Drosophila melanogaster: one gene and its partners. The protein of the gene in region 1 interacts with the protein of each later gene in a pairwise test. Each region holds a gene or a part of one and is shown in the gene's direction. Other genes may lie near its edges. The genes, in order: E5, CG32772, Cdk5 and CycJ.

Evidence for each region.
Region 2: the proteins of E5 (region 1) and CG32772 interact in a two-hybrid assay, tested with the Drosophila melanogaster proteins (one large-scale study listed by BioGRID).
Region 3: the proteins of E5 (region 1) and Cdk5 interact in a two-hybrid assay, tested with the Drosophila melanogaster proteins (one large-scale study listed by BioGRID).
Region 4: the proteins of E5 (region 1) and CycJ interact in a two-hybrid assay, tested with the Drosophila melanogaster proteins (one large-scale study listed by BioGRID).

The regions. Positions count from the first base shown.
Region 1 is NT_033777.3:13,871,869-13,876,520, reverse strand, and holds the start of E5 (E5), read left to right. Parts: upstream 1-1,604; 5' UTR 1,605-1,924; intron 1,925-2,267; 5' UTR 2,268-2,341; coding exon 2,342-3,221; intron 3,222-4,652.
Region 2 is NC_004354.4:4,907,541-4,915,153, forward strand, and holds the start of CG32772 (uncharacterized protein), read left to right. Parts: upstream 1-1,561; 5' UTR 1,562-1,779; exon of another isoform or gene 1,780-1,911; 5' UTR 1,912-2,218; coding exon 2,219-2,257; intron 2,258-3,311; coding exon 3,312-3,638; intron 3,639-4,840; exon of another isoform or gene 4,841-4,971; intron 4,972-5,202; coding exon 5,203-5,335; intron 5,336-5,404; coding exon 5,405-5,589; intron 5,590-5,663; coding exon 5,664-6,243; intron 6,244-6,305; coding exon 6,306-6,604; 3' UTR 6,605-7,613. Other genes in the region: CG6927 (uncharacterized protein), read left to right, coding at 1-1,067.
Region 3 is NT_033778.4:15,569,019-15,573,211, reverse strand, and holds Cdk5 (Cyclin-dependent kinase 5), read left to right. Parts: upstream 1-1,794; 5' UTR 1,795-1,909; coding exon 1,910-2,077; intron 2,078-2,141; coding exon 2,142-2,329; intron 2,330-2,489; coding exon 2,490-2,854; intron 2,855-2,916; coding exon 2,917-3,080; 3' UTR 3,081-3,673; downstream 3,674-4,193. Other genes in the region: CG8204 (uncharacterized protein), read left to right, coding at 1-23; CG30466 (uncharacterized protein), read right to left, coding at 286-399, 455-1,534, 3,674-3,697; Flo1 (flotillin 1), read left to right, coding at 4,042-4,093. UniProt on the Drosophila melanogaster protein: Probably involved in the control of the cell cycle. Interacts with D1 and D3-type G1 cyclins. Possible regulator of neuronal differentiation and/or development.
Region 4 is NT_037436.4:3,464,624-3,468,623, forward strand, and holds CycJ (cyclin J), read left to right. Parts: upstream 1-1,804; 5' UTR 1,805-1,915; coding exon 1,916-1,999; intron 2,000-2,062; coding exon 2,063-2,249; intron 2,250-2,326; coding exon 2,327-2,749; intron 2,750-2,802; coding exon 2,803-3,269; 3' UTR 3,270-3,475; downstream 3,476-4,000. Other genes in the region: armi (armitage), read left to right, coding at 1-356, 426-1,229, 1,286-1,609.

The DNA.
Region 1 (4,652 bases):
GGAGATGGGAAAGAGTAAAAACCAATTACAATTACCGCACCCAGAGGTGCCACACTCACAGATATAGATATATGTATACGTGTATACATGAGTGCATCTGCGGCAGCAAAGCTGCTGCCCCACCGACAAGCAACGGCCTTATCTAGATGCATACAAATCCAGCCAAGCGCACGTCAATTTATTTGCCAACTCTCGCCTCCTTTCTGGCCAACATCCATATCCATTCATGGCCAAAAGGAGGAGAATCGCATGTATTTACCTATGAGAAGGCTGCGAAGTTGGCGCTGCATGTTTTATGCCTCCTCCTGCATCTTTAACGAGGTGTTTATTTTCACAACTCACAGCCAGCGGATGAGGATGCGGATAGGGATGGGGATGGGAATGGGGATGGGGATGGGTATACAGATACTCGGATGACCACGCACAGATACAGATGCAGATACGTTCCCTTCCCAGCACGCTGTATCTGTATCTGTGAGATTCGCGCAGTTGCAGCTCGCCGAAGGTGTAGAAACCAAGTTACCGCCCATTTTCGTGTCCAAATGCTTTTGGCCAACATGATGCAGATGCCAATTCAGAATGGTAGAATGGCCAAGCGGCGGGGGGAGGGAAAGTGGTTTATAGCCAGCACTGACGACGGGGCGTCTAAGCTATATAAGCGATGACGTTGATTCCACTGCACAGTGGTATCGGCTCGATATCCTTTGAAAAATGCGTATTTTCTACTTTTGAGTTATGTACAAATTTGAACACTTTTTAATATCGATTTTCCAGTAGATAGTAAATAATTTAATACATGAAAACAATTTAAAAACGGTTACTGATGAAAGATAAACGTTTAAGCCTTAAATATTTCAATGAATAAATACAATTCAATTAAATAAAGTTTCAATTTTTTTTTATTGTTAGTATTTGCATAATTAAAAGAGGGCACAGTTCGCTTTTCAATTTTAAATGTTATATTTATTATATTTATTTTTAATCATCGAAGACCTACTTCCTATCCACTGTTCGGGTGCACCACCCCCGTTCCCCCTCCTACGCTCCAACAAACTGGCCAACCCGCTTGGCACTAAAACCACAAACGCTTTAATGATGCTGTTTTGTTTAGCGCAAATTGTTTGTTTCGCTGTCATAAACTGGTGCGAAAAATGGCCAAGAGAGCGACAGAGAGAGAGAGAAAAAGAGAGAGATTGGGGCCCCTCACACACCCACACACCAACAAGCCCAGAGAGCGGGAGAGCGAGCGAGAGAGGAGGTGGCTCCACTTGGAGCCAAGCAGGTTTTCGGAATATCCACTGAACTATTGTTGCGCTGCTTTGGCGCACGCGCACCGAGCCACGTGTGCGAGCGAGACGCCAGCAGTATTGCTGCGCTGGAAGTACAAGCAAAGGAAGAAGAAGCACACTCGAACTGGCCCCACAAACTTTTTGCGGCTTTTTCCAACGCGACACTCGAGCTAAAACGCTCAGCGTGAGAGCCACGCAGCGATTCGCCGACGCCCCCGCCAAAAATCAGGACAGAAAGAGAGAAAGCGAGAGAGAGACAGAGGTTGCGAGCGGCGAAGTGGAGCCAACAATTAGACGCCTTTAGACGCTCCATAATGCTAATGGCGTTGACAGTGCTCATCATCATCGCAGCGCGGCCACCGCAATCGTTTCGTTACCGGGTAGCCGGCATAACCGTTAACCGTTAACTGATACCGCCACCGCCACCGTCAATCGCCAATAGTCAATCGCCAACCATCAATCGCCGCCGTCAATCGTCCAGCGAAGCGGTACGGTCACGCTCCAATCGCCGCGTTGCCGCCGCTCCAGTTACAGTTACAGTTTATCAATGTCACGCCGACGGATGCCAACCGCTGGAGCATCGCAGATACAACGCTACGTAGCTATATAGCTATAGCTATCTGATCGGAAAAACAGTGCGTGTGTGCTTATCTGATATCTAGTAACCATTAACCGATGTACGCGATCATGTTTCCATAGCACCAACCCATTTATTGGGAGCTTCGATCAGTACAACCCTTTTTCCGTTTCCGTTTCTATTCAGTTCAATTCCATTTCAATTTCCATTCCCTTTGATTTTAGTAGGATTTTTACCGTTTTATTTTATTCCTAAAACTTTTAGTTGAGCATTATTCTTTTATTTACTGATTTATCCCGTTCGAAAATACAAAATTTTTTTTTTCAAAAAAGTCAAATATGGAATGGAAAAAATGGAATTTAAGGCCTACAAGTGTTCTTATAATCTACTTCGACTTGCAGAGACTTCGAATCGGGAAGTTTAAGAGGAGGGAAAGTGATTCATTTGTTTTTCCAATCAACGAAACCCCTACCAAATGGTCACCTGCGGCCGGCAAACGTTCAACATGCTGCCCATGGCGCCGACGAGTCCTTTTGTGAGCAGCAGCTCCTCGGTGGCCGCATCCTCGACTTCCGTTTCCGCCAGCAGTACCGTTTCCGCCTCCGCGAGCAGCAAGCCCAAGCTGGCCTTCAGCATCGACTCGATTGTGGGCGAATCCTCGACGAGATCGGCTCCACTAAGGGTCAGTGTGATATCTTCGCCGCCGCCGCGCAGCGAAAGTCCCGCTTCGCCAACGAACACGAACAACAGTGGGCGCCGGACGCCCAGGGGCTATATCTACTGCCGCAGAAGGGATTCGCTGGATCGATCGCGCAGTCCTCAGAGATCACCGGTTAGCCGGTCGCCATCGCCCCCCAATGCAGGAGGCAATCCGGCAGCGGCCGGGAATACTGCAAAGTCCGGGGATCCATCGTCGGGAACGGGAAATCCTCCAACCCTCATCCGTCCGTTGCCTCTGCCGGCGCCAAATCTAGCTTTAATTGGGAACCGCACCTCACCGAACGCCATGGCGGTGCGCATGGCGGGTCCGCCCCACCCGCCGTCGCAGCCACCGCCGTTCCTTGCCGCCCAGTTCCAAATGGCTGCTGCACTGGCTCATCATCACCAGCAGCAACAGCAGCAGCAACAACAGCAACTTCCGCCCGTGCCAACTGGACCGCCACATGGTCCACATCCGCATCTGCCGCCCGGCCAAATTCCACTTGGAATCTTTCCCGGCGGACCGCATCCCGGGCATCCTCCGCCCCACGGACACCATCCGTTCGGGAGTGCGCCGCATCTGATCCGGGATAGCTATCCGTTGTATCCATGGTTGCTCAGCCGACACGGACGCATTTTTCCACGATTCCCAGGCAGTAAGTAATCACACTGTTTTAAATATATCTATTGTTTATTACAATATTTTCAATAAGTTCAGAGTTCAGAGAAGCTAACCGGTTTAGCAAGCGGTACTTTCATATGTATATAAAACCGCTAAAAATTATTTCTATAAATTGAAAAATATAATTTTTATGCATAATCATCTAAGCTAACAATTATTTGTAATAAATTTACTGCAAAATTAATAACAGTTTATATAACAATAATACATATCATTTAATTTAATATTTACCCTATTCTGATAATAAGAGTACATCTCTCTTTTACGGATTATTAGAAAGATAGTTGTTACATATATATTTTTCATATTTGAACATTAGAATATTATGATAGTTTACGGTCGGTTTCTTCTTCTGGAGATAGCAACCACCCCTTTTGTTGGTTATTTTTCGCTATAACGAGTTTTCCGCATTCATTATAGCCGTTTCAAATGGCCGCTGAGTGTTGCGAGCGACAGAGAAAAAGAAACCACACCTTAAGTCATATTCGAAGCCCAGCACCATTATAGTAGAGAGGACCCCAATCAAGCAATTATTCAGTTATCGCTGTTGTTGCCGCGCAGCTCCATATAATTAAAGTTAAATAAGCAAATGGCAAACATTTATTACAAGTTAATTAGACGTGTATCGGGCTCATCATCATCAGAGGGAGCGGGACGGAGAATGGGAGCGAACAGGAAGGGGGGAATGTGGAGGGAACCGAACCCATTTTGATAACTATTTCCAAACAAATTACATTTTAATTAAATTGTTTAAACAACATTACACACATCGTTAGGTCAAGCAGCGTACCTAAATGGCCAGCCAAGTGTGTGAGTGTGTGTTTAGCATTTATTTGCTCTATTTATACTTTTTCTCTTCACTCGAAATTACCATTAATGGCCAACAGACGGCGCCAGTTACTCATGCGGCGGGCCCATGCGGCGTATGTGTAACGTACGAAAAGTGCAACCATTGAAATGTTAATGCGTTTTTAATTGAGGTTTTGGGGCAACCAAGCAAAGAACCGAGAGGAATGGTAAAAAAAAAAAACTGGCAGATAGAAGCGAAGAGCCACCGCAAAGCGCATCTCAAAAACATTGTCATTTATTACGGTTTAACCACTTTTTTCTACCATTCCGCTGCTCTCATGATTACCATTTGAATTTCCAGGCCATGTTGGTATCCATGTTTTTTTTCGGCCGGTTAAATATAATAATAATTTTCGGCACACTCACACGCCTTTCACCTGCTTAAGTGTACATGTATCCCCGTTACGCCTTAATTATGTTGTACTCCGTTTCATTATTTTCTCCCTTTCTACTTGTTTTCCCATTTCCCGCCGCTCCTTCTCTTTTTTCTCACTTTTCTCCGCGCCGCCTGTAATTTTCGCTTGATTTATGAACGTGAAATGTCAATGTTTCGCAT
Region 2 (7,613 bases), on another chromosome or scaffold:
ATTGCTGGCTCAACCTTAAGAAGTTCCCATTCGATGAGCAGCACTGCTCGACGGTGCTGGAGAGTTGGATGTACAATACGTCGGAACTGGTCCTCCACTGGGAGCAGAAGCGTCCGATAACCTACGATGGGGCACTGCATCTCACCGAGTTTGTGCTGCAGCGTTCCTGGTCAAACGAGACGGTAATCAATGCCGATTTGAGTGACCTGCGTCATGGAGCCTTTGCCGGCAACTACAGCTCCCTCAGCTTCACCGTTCACCTGACGCGAGTGGTTGGCTTTTACCTGATGGACTACTTTCTACCCTCCATGCTGATTGTGGCCATATCCTGGGTATCGTTCTGGCTGCAAGCAGATCAGGCGCCGCCGCGCATCACGCTGGGCACCAGCACCCTGCTGACATTCATTACCCTGGCCTCGGCACAGGGAAAGACTCTGCCAAAGGTTAGCTACATCAAGGTGTCAGAGGTGTGGTTCCTGGGCTGCACCATCTTCATATTTGGCAGCATGGTGGAGTTCGCCTTTGTTAACACGATTTGGCGTCGTAAGAAGAGTGTGCCCGTCAAGAAACTGAACAGCAAACACATCCTGAAGTCAACTCTATCGCCGAATCTGCTCAGACGACGCAGTCACGCCAGATCCAGATCCTTTTCGGGCACGGCTCTGCATAAGACAGCGGATACCGGCTCGCTGGGCGGTGCCGGTTTCAACAATTACCTAACCGTCAATTTGCCCATCACCACGATTAAGGAGGGCCAAGTTCTGGATCAGCAGAGGACCAGCCGCGTCGTCCAGAAGATGGATGTTAACTTTGTGGAGAGTGCCTTTGGATCCATGGGCTCTGCCCAGTCCACTGGAGCGATCAGTGCTGCCAGCAGCAGCCAAACTTTGACCAACAATAACCGAACGGAGAGCGCGGGGCACCAGGAGGAGATCGATCTGAGTGGCTGGACCACGCTAACGCCCCAGGAAATAGCCATGTGGATTGATAGTCGAGCCAGATTCGTTTTTCCGCTCTCCTTTCTCGTCTTTAATCTGTTTTTCTGGACATTTGTCTACTGTATTTAAAAAAAGGTCCATTTCATTTTATTATTAGATTACACAGTAGATTTAATATTGTGAAAAGTATCCAATTTAAAGTGTTTATTATTTGTACCCATCGTTTAGCATAGTTTGTTTAATTATTGTGAAAGTTTTGTATTATGTTTGTTTCACTTTGTTCTGTAAAATGATTTTATATTTATTCTGTTGTAAAATAAAGTTCATGATTCTATGGCTGCCTAAAAAACACCATCAATTATTTAAATAAAATAACCTATGATAAAATAAATCTTTCGGACTTGCAATTAAATATTAAATAAATAATAAATTAAAAAACTTGTTTTCAACAACGATTCCATTACCCGCCTCGTTTTCGATTACGGAAATCGATAGAAATATCGATAGGCCAGGCCAAGGAGCACCGGCCAAGCCAACCTGTGGGTTAGAGCAGCACAACTATACCGCGTATTCTTATCGTATTCGTTTTTTCCCCACACATACACACACACGGCTCACGCATACAGCGCAACAATAACATCGGGCCCCAAAAAAAAGGGAAAAAAGACGACGGACAAAAACTTCGTCGTGAATTGTAAAATACAAAAAAAAAACGCATTCGAACGCGCTGGTTTGTTTTTTTTTTCACGTGTAACTACGCCAAAAAAAGGGCAAAGGAATTAAGCAAAAAAAAGAAGCAGAACTTCGAAGCAGCAACAACAACAGCGCCGCATTTTTGCTTGTATGTGCAAGTGCAAGGCAAACATAAACAACGCGCGTGTGTGTGTGTACCACGAAAATATCGTATAAATCAAATTTCTATATCATTTATATAGTTTTTTTTTTGTTTTTGCCATCATAATATGCCATATAGCGATCACCGAAATCCAAACGCAAACCAAACTCCAAAAAGTTAGTTTCAAATACAACCACACATCGTTTGGATCGTGTTCACAAACTTATAGTAGGAAGGAAAAGGAAAAAGATAGAAAAAAAACGAACTAAATAATAATAAACGAAAAAGAAAAACGGCGCTGAATGTTAACCGGTAAAGATAGCGGTAAATTGCGAGGGAGAAGGACGACAACAACAACAACAACGACCGCAGAGGGGGCAAAAGTCAGCAACAAAGTGCATCCTCCTTCTCCTGCTCCCCATCCTATTCCTTATTTACTGTTATAATGGACACCATCTGTAGATTGTGCTTCCAAACGGCAACGGTATGTTAACAAAAAAAAAAAGATATACACACATGTGATTTAGGTATATACACTTTGTTATTTCTATTGATTTTTTTTCTTTTGGTGGAGTTTAAACAATTGAATTCGCGCTACTGTTATTGTGCGGGCGGGTTGTTGGCGCAGGGGGCGGGGTTCAAAAGCGCGCGCATTGCCCCCCTTTCCCCACACACATACAAACGCACACACACAGAAATAAGAAATACACATACACATGCGACCCCAAACTATTGCTGAACAATTTTTATTTTTAGCCAACTCAGCCCGAAAAGTTGTTCAAGCCGACAACTTGAAAAAATATTATTTTTACATTTTGCTTACGCTCGCCACTCGCTTTTCACTTTGACTCCTTTTCAACCTATTCCCCCGAACAGGCCCCCCTCTTTCAGCCCCCTCCCGCCGCCCATGAACCGCACAAAAAGAAATACATATTAAAACAAAATGACAGAAATTGCGCCAAGGCAGCCAAATACGCAGTGGCTGCGCGTTAATTTAGTGACAGAGGGTTTACTATATTGGGCATCTAAGCCCAAAAATTTAAAGTTAAGCGGTTATAAAACTAACAAAACAGATCTAACTTTGCTTGGTTTTTAGTTCATTATTTAAACAATTACCAAATAACCCCTTTTTTGTAGGCGACGCCTCTGCCGCCGCCGCTGGCAGAGCGGCGGCAAAGCAAAACAAAAAGCGAAAGAATAACAAAACGTTGTACCGAAGAAAAAAAATAACATGAAATGAAAACAACAACAACAAAGCAACGAGCTGCTGGTGCTGTTGTTATTGTAGTTTCTTTTCTTTCTTTTTCGCTCTCCATGTGTGCGTGCCTGTGTGTGTGCGTGTGTTTATCTTCTTGGCTCTTATTTCTAGTTGGTGGAAAAGAGAAAGGGCTAGTTGGCATGGAAGGGGGAGGGTATGTGTGGAATAAGATTGAGTTGCCACAATAAATAAAGAGCATTATTGGTTTTTTTTTTCCAATTGGAAGCACTCTCTAATTCACGTGTCCTGTTCTGTTCTATTCTATTCCCCCGCCCTACAGTTGTTCCAGGTGCCCGGCTATAGCATACCCACGTGCGTCCGCTGCTCGGAGCAGTTGACAAATAATTCCAACTTCCATCAGTCGGCGGCGGCCGCTGCAGCCGTCGCTGCCTCTGCCTCGGCCGCAGTTGCCGCCTCTGCAGCAGCGGCGGCCACCTCCTCGTCGACGGCCTCCTCCAGCGACAGCGACGCCATCGCGCAGCAGCAGCAGCATCAGAATCCGCAGCAGCAGCAGCATCAGAACTCGCAACAGCAACAACAACAACAGCAGCAAATGCAATCATCCAGTTCTTCCGAGAACCTACAGTCGCAGGACGACTCCGAAGACGTAAGTCCATTTCAGGGATTGGGATACCAAGGCAGGGAGAGTGTTGCAAAGGGCATAGTGAGTGGGTTGCACTACGTGTAGTGTTACGAGAGGCATGGCAAGAAGTGGCAGCGAATACAGTGCTGCAAAGGGCTTACTAAAGGAGATAAATAAAGTAAATAACTGAAGGTCGTTCTTATTTTCAACTAAAATATGAACGTCTTGAATATGTATATTAATATCTATGAATAAATTTAAAATTTAATCCTAATGTTTAATAGTCCACGAAAAGTGTTCTATGGTTTAGGAATCCAATCAATGCAATTGCCCATCAAACTATAAATGATTCAAAAAAATTGACAATTTAAACCTAATTACAGAGTTCACTGCAATCCTCAGTAGATGCATTGCATTTGGAATTATAGGGGTTTGAAGACCCCCATCAACCGTTTTCAGAAGAGTGCTTTACTTCCCAGGGAGTTCGACTCCTGCTCCTTTTGCTGCACTTGTTTATTATTGTTGTGCTATTTTCTCTTCATTTTCTTACATTTCACTACTACTCCCCCGCTCACAAAAGTCTTACATATACATATACATAAATGCACACGGACACACTGCACATTCATAGCCGCTGCTTTTCTTCTTCACTTCTTATTTCGCCGTTTCTTTGCATGTTCTTGTTGCCTTTCTTTTTCCATCATGCAACAGAGAATTGCAAAAAAAAAAAATGTATAAATAAATGTAAAATTGCCTTGCGACGACTTGGGAATGCTCTATTGCAGACATGTTTAGATACTATTTACTATTGCTGCTATTTACATAAATTTCAAAAAAAAAACTTCAGTACAGTCTCATTCCATCACACAGTCGACGTGGTAGTGTTGGAAAGTTCTTATAGAAGATTAAAAACGGTAGGCCCTACAGATATGCATTACAAACGGGTTAGAAAAGTGTTGAGCGTGAGAGTATTTTCTATTCCACTTGCTACATTTCGCACTGCTCATTTTCTTGTTTTCCTTTATATTTATATGTATATATATATATATATATAGATATATGTATATACACATATATTTTGTGCTTCTTTTTCCATTAATATCTGCTCTGTCGACGTCGACGTCGAAGTCGACGCAGCTCGGCGTTTTTGTGCGCTGTGTAAAGCGGAAAAAATTCATTTTCAGTTGGCGCTTTTGGTGTGTGGGTGTGCGTGGCACGCAGAAAAATAAATAAAATAATTATAATAAAAAAAAAGCTCGTGAAAAATATTAAATGTAACTCAAGTGATTCCCCAATAAACAAACTGAATTCGCACGGGAATTTGCAATCCGTTCTTTTGGCCGCCAGCTTGTTGAGCGTGAGTGGGAGTGGGAGGGCGATAGTGACACAGTGATGTGCACTTGGCTACTTATTCGTTAGAACTATATGCATATATAATGTACAGCTTAGAAAAAAGGTTTTTCGCATAAATTTATAGTAGGTTGTATTAAAGTAAAATGGCATATCATATATAATGCCTTTCTGATGGAAGGTAACCCGCGGTAGAAGGCAAGCCCTTTGCAACTAATGTTCGATTTGTTTCTTTAAGGTGGATCTGATATTCAACGAGGAGGGCTCCTGCCCGCTATGCAACAAAACTTTCTCGCGCAAATCCTCGCTCATGACGCACATACGAAATCACTCGGCGGAGCGTAAGTTTGTGTGCACCTACTGCCACAAAGGTGAGTCCCATATGCCGTTCGCACACATCATCTGGTTCTTAACAATCGATGTACCTCTTGGATTTTCAGGCTTCACGCAGGCGGCCAACTTGCGGAACCACGAACGCATCCACACGAACGATCGGCCATATCAGTGCGTGGACTGTGGCAAGACCTTCACGCAGATCACCAATTTGAACAATCACCGCCGGCTGCACACCGGCGAACGGCCCTTCGTTTGCAATGAACCGGAGTGCGGTCGCAGCTTCGCCCAGGTCAGTTCCAAGATAAATTGATAAATTGCAGAGGATTTATGATAATAACGGCTCGATATGTTCTCGCATTGCAGGTGACGAACCTGAACAACCATATGAAGTCGCACCACAAGGTGCAGCAGTACTGCTGCAACGTGTGCAACAAGAAGTTCACGCAGGTGACCTCGCTGAACCAGCACCTGCAGGCGCACGCTGGGGTCACCGGCTACTACTGTCCGCGTTGTCCGGAGAAGAACTTCAAACTGCAGTCGCAGCTGCATACGCACATGAAGACCCACGGCCTGGCCTTTCCGTACGAGTGCGACAAGTGCGACGAGAAGTTCCTGCAGCAGGCCCATCTCGACCAGCACCTCAAGATGCACGACGAGTTCAAGTTCAAGTGCGACATCTGCCCGAGTAGCTTCAATCAGGAGTCGCTGCTGAAGAAGCACGTGCAGCGCCATGTCGAGGGTCGCTACCTCTCCTGTCCGGTGGCCAATTGTGCCGAGTCCTTTGCGGTGCGCCAGCACCTCTCCAAGCACCTGCTCACCAATCACGCCCACCACGAGCTGCCGCCTCCGAAGCGATCCAAGAAGGCGGGCACGCTGCAGACGTCGCAACAGCCGCTGGCGATGATCGGCCAGCCGTTGTCACTGCAGCACACGACAGGGCAACGTAAGTGCTCACCATTCACTCATTCACTTTGAATCTCACTACGCCTTTCGTTGCATATCCAGGTGGGCGTCCGCCGAAGAACAAGAACAAGGCGACAACGCTGGCCGCCACGGCCATCAAGATCGAGATCAACGAATCGCTCCACAGCCAGCATATCAGCAATGTCAGCGGCCTGTCCATCCAGCAGCAGATCAATCAGCACATGCAGCAGCAGGCGGCACAGCAGCAGGCGCAGCAGCAGGCGGCACAACAACAGCAGCAGCAGGCGGCGCAACAACAGCAGCAGGCGGCGCAGCAGCAGCAACTGCTGCACTTGCCGATGGGACAGGCGGTCAAGGCGCGTTTCATACCCACTAAGTAGGCTAGTTAAGAATGGAAAGAAGGTCTCTTTTAGCTTAAGCCCCGAACGATCAGCTGCTAAAGTCCCTGATTAGCATAGCCATAGCCAAAGTAGCATCACATTCAGCACATACACACGTAAAATATGTTAGATATATGGCGCGGATGTTTTGGAGTCTCTGCAGATCTCTAAATACTTTTGGGTGTCTGAAGTTGATGTAGAAATCATTCTTTATATGCGTTACCCGTGGAGTTAAGCGTATGCTGGATTGGTGAAAAAAAGGTATGGAACAGGCAGTAGGAAGCGTTTTCGTCCTTGAATTCTGAATCAGAATGGAATGGGGGAGTTAGTCGAGTTCATCGATTAAAGCTAGCTTTTAGTTTTTCTGAGATGCACTTGTCCTACTCTCGCATTGAGTTCAGCATCAACTTTTTGGGTATCAGAATCCACTTAATTATCTTGAAATCGGCGAGTGGACTTCCAAAACATCCCGAATTTAGAGTCGGCGGCAAGCTGCTGGTTCAGTTTGGTGTCTGTCTCCCACTTCCTGTTTTGAATTCAGCAGCCAAAGCAATAGAGGAACCAAATGCCCCTGAATAAATTTCCAAGAATATTAGCAGCAATGCATGACATCGAAAGAGATAAGGAGAAAAAGCAGCAGCACCAGATGGACAGACAAAAACACAACTGACTTATAAAATTATGCACATAACACCCACATCTATATATACATTATATTATATAAACATGAGATCGGGTTGAGAAATCTGTAAAACTTAAATCGAATTAAAATTTTATTGTAATGCAAAGGCGCAGCGAAACGGAAAATATAATGTTGAAAAAACAAAAAAAAAAAAAAAACAGAAAGCAAATACAAATTACCTACAATTGATAGTAATTACGCATAGAGAAAAGTAACGAAAACAAGAAGTGAAAAACAATTCGATTAAATTCGGTATGTATTTATGTTAGGCATTAGCTTAAGTGTTTTTATTTTTTTTTTAATAAACCATTACAAAAAATCAACATT
Region 3 (4,193 bases), on another chromosome or scaffold:
CTGAATTTGAGTTGTACTCCTGAATTAAGTTGACACACAGTCTCAATAAAACTAAGCCTTTATTTTGTAACTAATAGTACTGTCAATCCTTGGCAGCTTCTAGAGGAGCTTGCATTGAAGAACTCCTGGAAACTTCTCATTGAAATCCGCCGGTAAGGTTGAATCTTTTCCATAACCAGGGAAAACGTACAACTAATTATTTGGCTCGGCCATTTAAAGTTATCTATCTCAGCTGGCATATCAAACTAGTCATCAGTCTACAGCTTCGTTCCTTGGCAATCAAACTCAATCAAAGTAAATTGAAACTGGATCCGAGTTAAAAGTGATTTTTGGATGCTTCATGTGCAACTTGAAAAGCCTATGTTCCCCTTGCACTTTCCAGGTCATGGGGATGGGATCCTGTAATGAAAAATATTAGAAACGAAAGCTAATATAAGTTGTGAAATACTTAGACCTCATTAGACATGAGATACGTGTTTAGTTCCACATAAATATTAAGTGCTGTGGTACGGTTTTCTCCCAGTTTCTTCGCATCGAATGTGAACTCCTTAAATCCGAAGGTGCAATGGTATATACCCAGGACCTCGTGTGTGTTTAGGTTTTGTATTAAGGTATGAAACTTAATTTCGTCCACACAAACCGAATTTTGTATATAAAATTCATTGACATTAATGTGAAGATGCTGATACGCATGCATACCAAAATTAGCCACCTTTAGGGTCTTAATAGCCACATTTAAACCGTAAGTTTCACAAAATATGGATGTATTTTGGCTTATCTCGATCATATTTATAGTGCTTCTCTTCGCAGCTATGAGAATCTCTCTCAGAAATCCGTATCTAACGTGACCACAAAGAAATAGCTTCTTCAAGTGAGTTAGACGTTCCAGTTTCGATAGGAACCACACCATCATTTCCTCCTGGAAGCACTGCAGCTGCTCTAGGTTTCTAATCCCTTTCCAGGGCAGTTCTGTGTTCGAAATCTGGTCAATATCGAAGATACCCAGCTTCAGGGATTTTATTTTTCTGGTTTTCAGGATCTGTATCAAGTTGGTGACATTGAATTTGCTGCAGTAGGAGACCGTGAGGTTCTCGAGAAACTCGAATTCATCAAAGTGTTTGCCAGTAAACTTTCCATGGGGGCTAAAAGTTGTCAGATTTGGAAAAGTTTTCAACATTCTTGGCACGTCCGCATCGTTTAAGTTAAACGAATGCGTGGAAAATCGAAAATCTTTAAGTTTTGGAAAACTACAGCTGGTAAGTGTTTCGAAGTTAGATCTATTATTCATTTTGAGCCGCAGAGTGCTGAGGATTTGTTGAGTACTTTCCAGGAAGAATAGCAAATCCTTGTCGCTCAGCTGCATTTCAATCAAGGATATATATGCACATTTGTTATAAGCACGCCACACATACGGCATTAATTTCTTAAACCGGAAATGAAAGTCTTTCAGTTTTAGTTGGGTCTTCAAGTCGAGATAACTTAGAATTATCATTAGAACATCATCGGGCAGACATAGTAAGCCAGGCTTGGTATTCTGCAAAGGGCAAAAGAAATTAGGAAACTTGTATACTTATATTTCTGCTATATTGTTGCATTGCGGTACCATAAGATCGGTGTTTATCATTGTCGGTCTATATTCGTATGTTTAGCTAATATCGAGTCCAAATAAAACAATAAAATTATAACAAAAGTTTTATCAACATTTTTAAAATGATATCTGTTAATTTTGAGTATTTTTGGTGACAGCAGACTGTCAGCTGCGATGTTGGTTAGTCACCGCGTGCTGTAAGCGAATAACAGTGTGCTGTTAGGCGCACGAATCCCTGGCCAGCAAAAACAAACTGCAAAAACAATAATCCCCGGAGTTTTCCATCTGAACGCAAAATAATACACACCAAAACACAGCAAAATGCAGAAGTACGATAAAATGGAGAAGATCGGGGAGGGCACCTACGGCACGGTGTTCAAGGGTCGCAACCGCGACACCATGGAAATAGTGGCCCTGAAACGGGTGCGACTGGACGAGGACGACGAGGGTGTGCCCAGTTCTGCCCTCCGGGAGATCTGCCTGCTGAAGGTCAGTCGGACGAGCAGGAAGTGATTCCAGTTTATAAACTAAATCGGCACATTACCATCCGTAGGAGCTGAAGCACAAGAACATTGTGCGCCTCATAGACGTCCTGCACTCGGACAAGAAACTCACCCTGGTCTTCGAGCACTGCGACCAGGACCTCAAGAAGTACTTTGACAGCCTCAACGGGGAGATCGACATGGCCGTCTGCAGGAGCTTTATGCTCCAACTGCTCCGCGGACTGGCATTCTGCCACAGGTATACCTATATATGTATCAGCACTGGATTAGGTCTTATCTTGTGTCGATTATAGTTAGAATCAAGTGTTATTTGGAGTAACTTCATCTGTGGCACATTTCCGAATGATATCCATTTTATAGCATTGAGACTTAACTTACGCTACATTATCCTATTTTAGCCATAATGTCCTGCATCGCGATCTGAAACCACAGAACCTGCTGATCAACAAAAACGGCGAGCTAAAGCTAGCTGACTTTGGTCTCGCTAGAGCCTTTGGCATTCCCGTGAAGTGCTACTCCGCAGAAGTGGTGACCCTGTGGTACCGACCACCCGATGTCCTATTTGGAGCCAAGCTCTATACGACCAGCATAGACATGTGGTCCGCTGGATGCATTTTGGCCGAACTGGCGGACGCTGGACGACCGCTGTTTCCTGGCTCTGACGTGCTCGATCAGCTGATGAAGATCTTCCGTGTGCTGGGCACCCCCAACGAGGACTCCTGGCCAGGAGTTTCGCACCTCTCCGACTACGTGGCGCTTCCATGTAGGGATTCTAGACGGATTTTATTTATCGATACCAATATTAAAAGCCTATTTATATTATAGCTTTTCCGGCCATCACCTCGTGGAGTCAGCTGGTACCTAGGCTAAACTCCAAGGGACGCGACCTGCTGCAAAAGCTGCTCATCTGCCGGCCAAATCAGCGAATTAGCGCGGAGGCGGCGATGCAGCATCCCTACTTTACGGACAGCAGCTCTTCGGGACATTGAGGTCGGAAGGTTCTTTCCAAGCCACTGTTTTCACGACCTTTGATTAGACTTAAGCCAAAATGCGAGACTTTGTCCAGCAAAGATCTTTTAATTATATATGTATGTCCTTGCAGTAGAGTTCGATTATAGTATAAGATAAAAAGTTCTTTATAATTTCATTAGTTTGATTTACCAAAGCAAAAGGTTTGATTTATGACAATCCCTACCAATGTGACACTTAATATAGCCATTTGAGCTGCCAAATTAACATTTATCGATAAAATACTTATTGATTCAGTAAAATAGTTTTATTCTTAAAAATTTTTATGTTGAGTGTATCGTTAAGATCCGAAAATTGTTCAAATTCCTAGACGATATCTACTGTTTGTGTGAATGTGGAAAAAATATTTGAAATCCTAGTTTCTGTTTTCAAAGACTAAAAACTAGGCAATACATCTGGTTTCCAAATTTAATGAGTGTCGACGATTTTCTTATTACATTTATTGTGTATTTTTAAGAATTTCGATCTTTCTGAATGATATGAGTCATTAAGTAAATTAGAATAAAAAAAATTGAGATGTAACCTAGATTTTTAAACCAATAAAGACACTTACCGCAGCACTACGTCGTCGCAGCATGATGAATATTTTGAAGTGGTCGCCTCAACCCCCGGCACTCAATAGGGGTTAAAGTCGTTCTGCGCACTCGCGAGTTAGAAATTGAGAACTTTACAGATTGAGAGATTTTTTTATTGTGCTACGAATTGCTAACCGAACCGGTCGGATTTCTGAATCTTAAGCACCGAGTACCTCGGAAATTCTTTTATATATATTATTAGACGAATAAACAAGGCTACCTGTGGATCGGATAATTCGCTATATAGTTAATAATCGGAAAACTGTGTTAACCGCGCAGATAAAACAAAAGCTGTTATCAGCAGCAACCCATTTTCTAATATAAATAACAAATAAGTGCTGCAGAAATGACTTGGGGATTTGTAACCTGCGGCCCCAACGAGGCTTTAGTTGTCTCTGGTAAATCACACGATCCTTATATGCTCAAAATAATGTCAAATCGATTAAATAAATAAGTCAGTGAATAAAAATGAAATTGTCACGCACACACACATATATA
Region 4 (4,000 bases), on another chromosome or scaffold:
ATCAGTCGCTTAATTCCATCCAAAAACGTGCTGTTTTCAATATACTGCGCGGTGAAGCGGAGAACATTCCTTATGTGCTGTTTGGGCCTCCGGGCAGTGGAAAAACAATGACACTTATTGAGACACTACTCCAGTTGGTTAGGAATCTGCCTGGTGCCCGAATCTTGGTGGGAACGCCGTCGAACAGCTCAGCGGATTTGGTGACAAAGAGGCTCATCGATAGCAAAGCTTTGCTCCAGGGAGATTTCATTCGCCTCGTTTCGTACAATCAAGTGGAGAAAGACTTGATTCCTCCGGAAATAATGAGCTACTGCGCCACAAGTGATGTCGGTGCTGTGGGCAGTTGCGAGGACAAAGTGAGTAGAAAAATTTTATCATTTGGATTGGACACCAATTAATCTTGGCTTTGTTGATATTTGCTATAGATGATGGTCACCGAATCGGGATTGAAGCTTCGCTGTCAAGCTAAGTTTATAGGTACTCATCGCATTACCATCTCCACCTGCACTACTTTGGGAAACTTTTTACAATTGGGGTTTCCAGCGGGCCATTTCACTCACGTGCTGTTCGATGAAGCTGGTCAATGCACCGAACCAGAAACAATGGTACCCATTGTAATGCTAACGAAGAAACGCTCTCAAGTTGTTCTCTCAGGTGATCCTCGCCAGCTGCAGTCTATTGTCACCAGTCGAATTGCCTCGAAAATGGGATTTTCCATATCCTTTCTGGAGAGATTGCTGGAACGGTCGCCGTATCGAAAAGATCTTCAGCGATTTCCCGAAAGCTCCGGCTACAATCCACTAGTGCTAACCAAATTGTTGTACAATTACCGAGCATTACCGTCGATTATGAGCATTTATAGCAGGCTATTCTACGATGACGAACTGATCCCAGTTCTTTCCGAAAAGGATTCAAGGGAATCTCGCCTACTAAGTAAACTGCGGTGTGTATTTGAGTCAGAAAAGGATATCCCTCAAGCGCACGGCACGTTCTTTTACGGAATCATTGGCGAAAACAGGCAAAATAACGATTCCCCTTCCTGGTTCAATCCCCAAGAGGTCAGGGAGGTGTTCCTAATGACCATCGCCCTGTACCGTGCCAATGTGACTGCCGATCAGATCGGTATAATCACGCCCTATCAGAAGCAGGTGAAGATGCTTCGGAGTATGTTCATTGGCACCGACGTGGTCATGCCGAAGATTGGATCCGTCGAGGAGTTTCAGGGACAGGTGGGGTCGGAACTAAAATCGATATTACGTGCACACTTAACGTTTGTTATTTCCAGGAACGAGACATTATACTAATATCCACGGTGCGTTCATCAGAAGAGATCCTGCGCATGGATGCCCGCTTCTCCTTGGGATTCGTGCGTTGCAGCAAGCGACTTAACGTGGCCGTTTCCCGAGCACGTGCCATGATGATCATCTTCGGGAATCCCCATCTTCTGGCCGTCGACGAATGCTGGCGCCAGCTAATCCTGTTCTGTGTCAAAAATAACGCCTATTTTGGCTGTGATCTGCCTCAAATGGTGATAAATCAGAAAGATGAGGTCCCCGTTTGCTTGGAAACATTCGTGCCTTCACTGAATACTACAGATGATTTGAACTAAGCACATATGACAGTTTATTATTAAATTAAAACACTTGTTATTGATGAATTAAAGTAACACAATTAATCATTAAACTTGTTTTAAATATTTGTACATATGTGCTAATTTTAGCGAATGGTAACACTCCCAAGCGCAGTCTGGGAACGCTGCTCGTTTGGCTTCGCAGTGTGGTAGCACTGGCCGGAACCGTTGTAGCGCCATGTTTGCGCTCCTTTTGTTTTCTCCTTCATTTGTTTTGCTTTTTTCCGCCGTTAAGTTCTTGCCTTAAAATCGGTGATTTAAGGCATTGCATTCAATTTCGATACAATGGAGCAGAAAGTGGCTGCCGAGCAGAACATCTTCGTCGTCGACCGCAAATTGAAGAAAACTTGCCCGCAAGCAGATGTCGAGGTGAACGGACATGTGCTTAACTTTTGCGAACCCGACTTTATTTCGTTAAATACCAATTTGTAGCGCCTGGCTAAGACGCACTGGCTCACCGACTATGCCCGGGATATATTTTTGACCATGAGGGAGCAAGAACTCAGCCGTCGGCCTTTGTTTTACCTTTCGCCGCAGCTGAACGAGCGCCGAAGAATGCTGCAGTTGCTCAAACTGGCGACCAGCGCCCACAAGCTTAGTCGCTGTGCTTTGCACCTGGGTGAGCACTGTACAGAGGAGCCTCGCTGCAGGCACAAAACCCATGTGCACAACTCATTGTAACTCGTTTCACTCCAGCCGTCTACTATATGGATCGCTTTGTTGATTACTACAAAATCCGTCCGGACAAATTGCTCCTGGTGGCCATCACTTGTCTTCATATAGCTGCGCAGATCGAAAACACGGATGCGTTTATTCCGCGCTACAGCGAAATGAACCGATTGGTCAAGAACGCCTATACGGCATTCGAGTACAAGGCTGTGGAAAGGAAGATCCTGTGCTTCCTGAACTTCGAGCTAATACGTCCCACCACCGCCAGTTTTGTGGAGCTCTTCGCCTGCAGTTTTCTCACTCGCTCCGATTTCAAGAACTACATCGAGATGTTGGATGAGTACGAGCGGAACCATCACACCCAGCCGTACCAGCGATATATAAGCTTCGAAGAGATGCTGTCCATTTTGGCGCAGTTGCTCCTTCGCATGGCGGATTATACATTGTACAGTGAGTATCGAATTCCCATGGAAGGTATTGGATACCACTTAACACTCATTCAGTTTCCAGATTTGCCAACGATCTGCCATCCCTTTTGGCTGCCGCCTGCATTGCTGCAGTTCGCCAGGTCAGCGGGGTCAGGCGCTGGTCGGAGTACCTAGTTGGACTGACCTCCTATACTGAGGCGAATGTCGAGCCGTACATGAACGTTCTGACCGACTATTATTATTACCATGTTATTCAGACCGACTACGGTAGTCCCTCTGTTCAGACCAACCAGAGTTTAGCCAGTCCCGATTCCGGATTCGAGGAGTCCTTCACTGAGAACACAAACCTGGTGGTCTCCGATGAAGTGGTCACAGTAGAGACCTACAACATAATTACCGTGCAGCTGCAGGATCCATCTCCACATTCATCGACTTTCCTTCCCAAAGAGCAAACGAATTTGAAGCGATCGCGCTTTGAAGACGATACCGAAAACCAGCACCCATTGAAACACGCCAAAGTGGAGAGTGTAGCCAAAGATTAGTAAAAGGGAAAAACGAAACTATTACCATTTGGAGGAAATCCAAATAGCTTAGAAGTGAAATGACATCCATAACGTAGATATGGTCTTGTTCAATTGAGTTGAACCTCACCCATATAATAATCGTGATGTTATGCTTTAATATATATGTATTTAATATATATTTGAAATTATCTTATAAACTTATAAATACAATATGTCAAAAACTCAACAAAAATGATGCATTAACTAAAAACAACGAAGACATTATTTATAATTCGCTAAAGAACAATGCCCCTTGTTTAATTTAATCAGACGTTTGCGGGAGCTTTCAAATTAAAAATTCTTATAACTATAAGGGTTTACAATTCAATTTGGAATGCCAAATTAAAGATGTCAGTTAAGGAACAATGAAAGGGTCATTAAGGCTTTCTTATTTTTACATAGGTTGTATGACTTAAGATCGAGTTTTTACAAAAAAGAAACGAGATAGATTTCGGAACTCAAGCAAACTTTGGACAGTTCTCAATACATTTTCAGCTTCACAAATGCAAAAAGATTAAAACTAACTGCTATTAGAAGTTAATTGATTGTCCAAAGAATACTCTTCGTTCCTTAGATTTCGTGTCGTTACAATCGAATCAACTTAAACATGGATGTTACTCTTTACACTTCAATTTGACGTACGTCTCATATATCTAGCCTAGCCCCTAAATGCACAAGGCGGGAATGCATCGAGGAAGTTGAGGGAATCG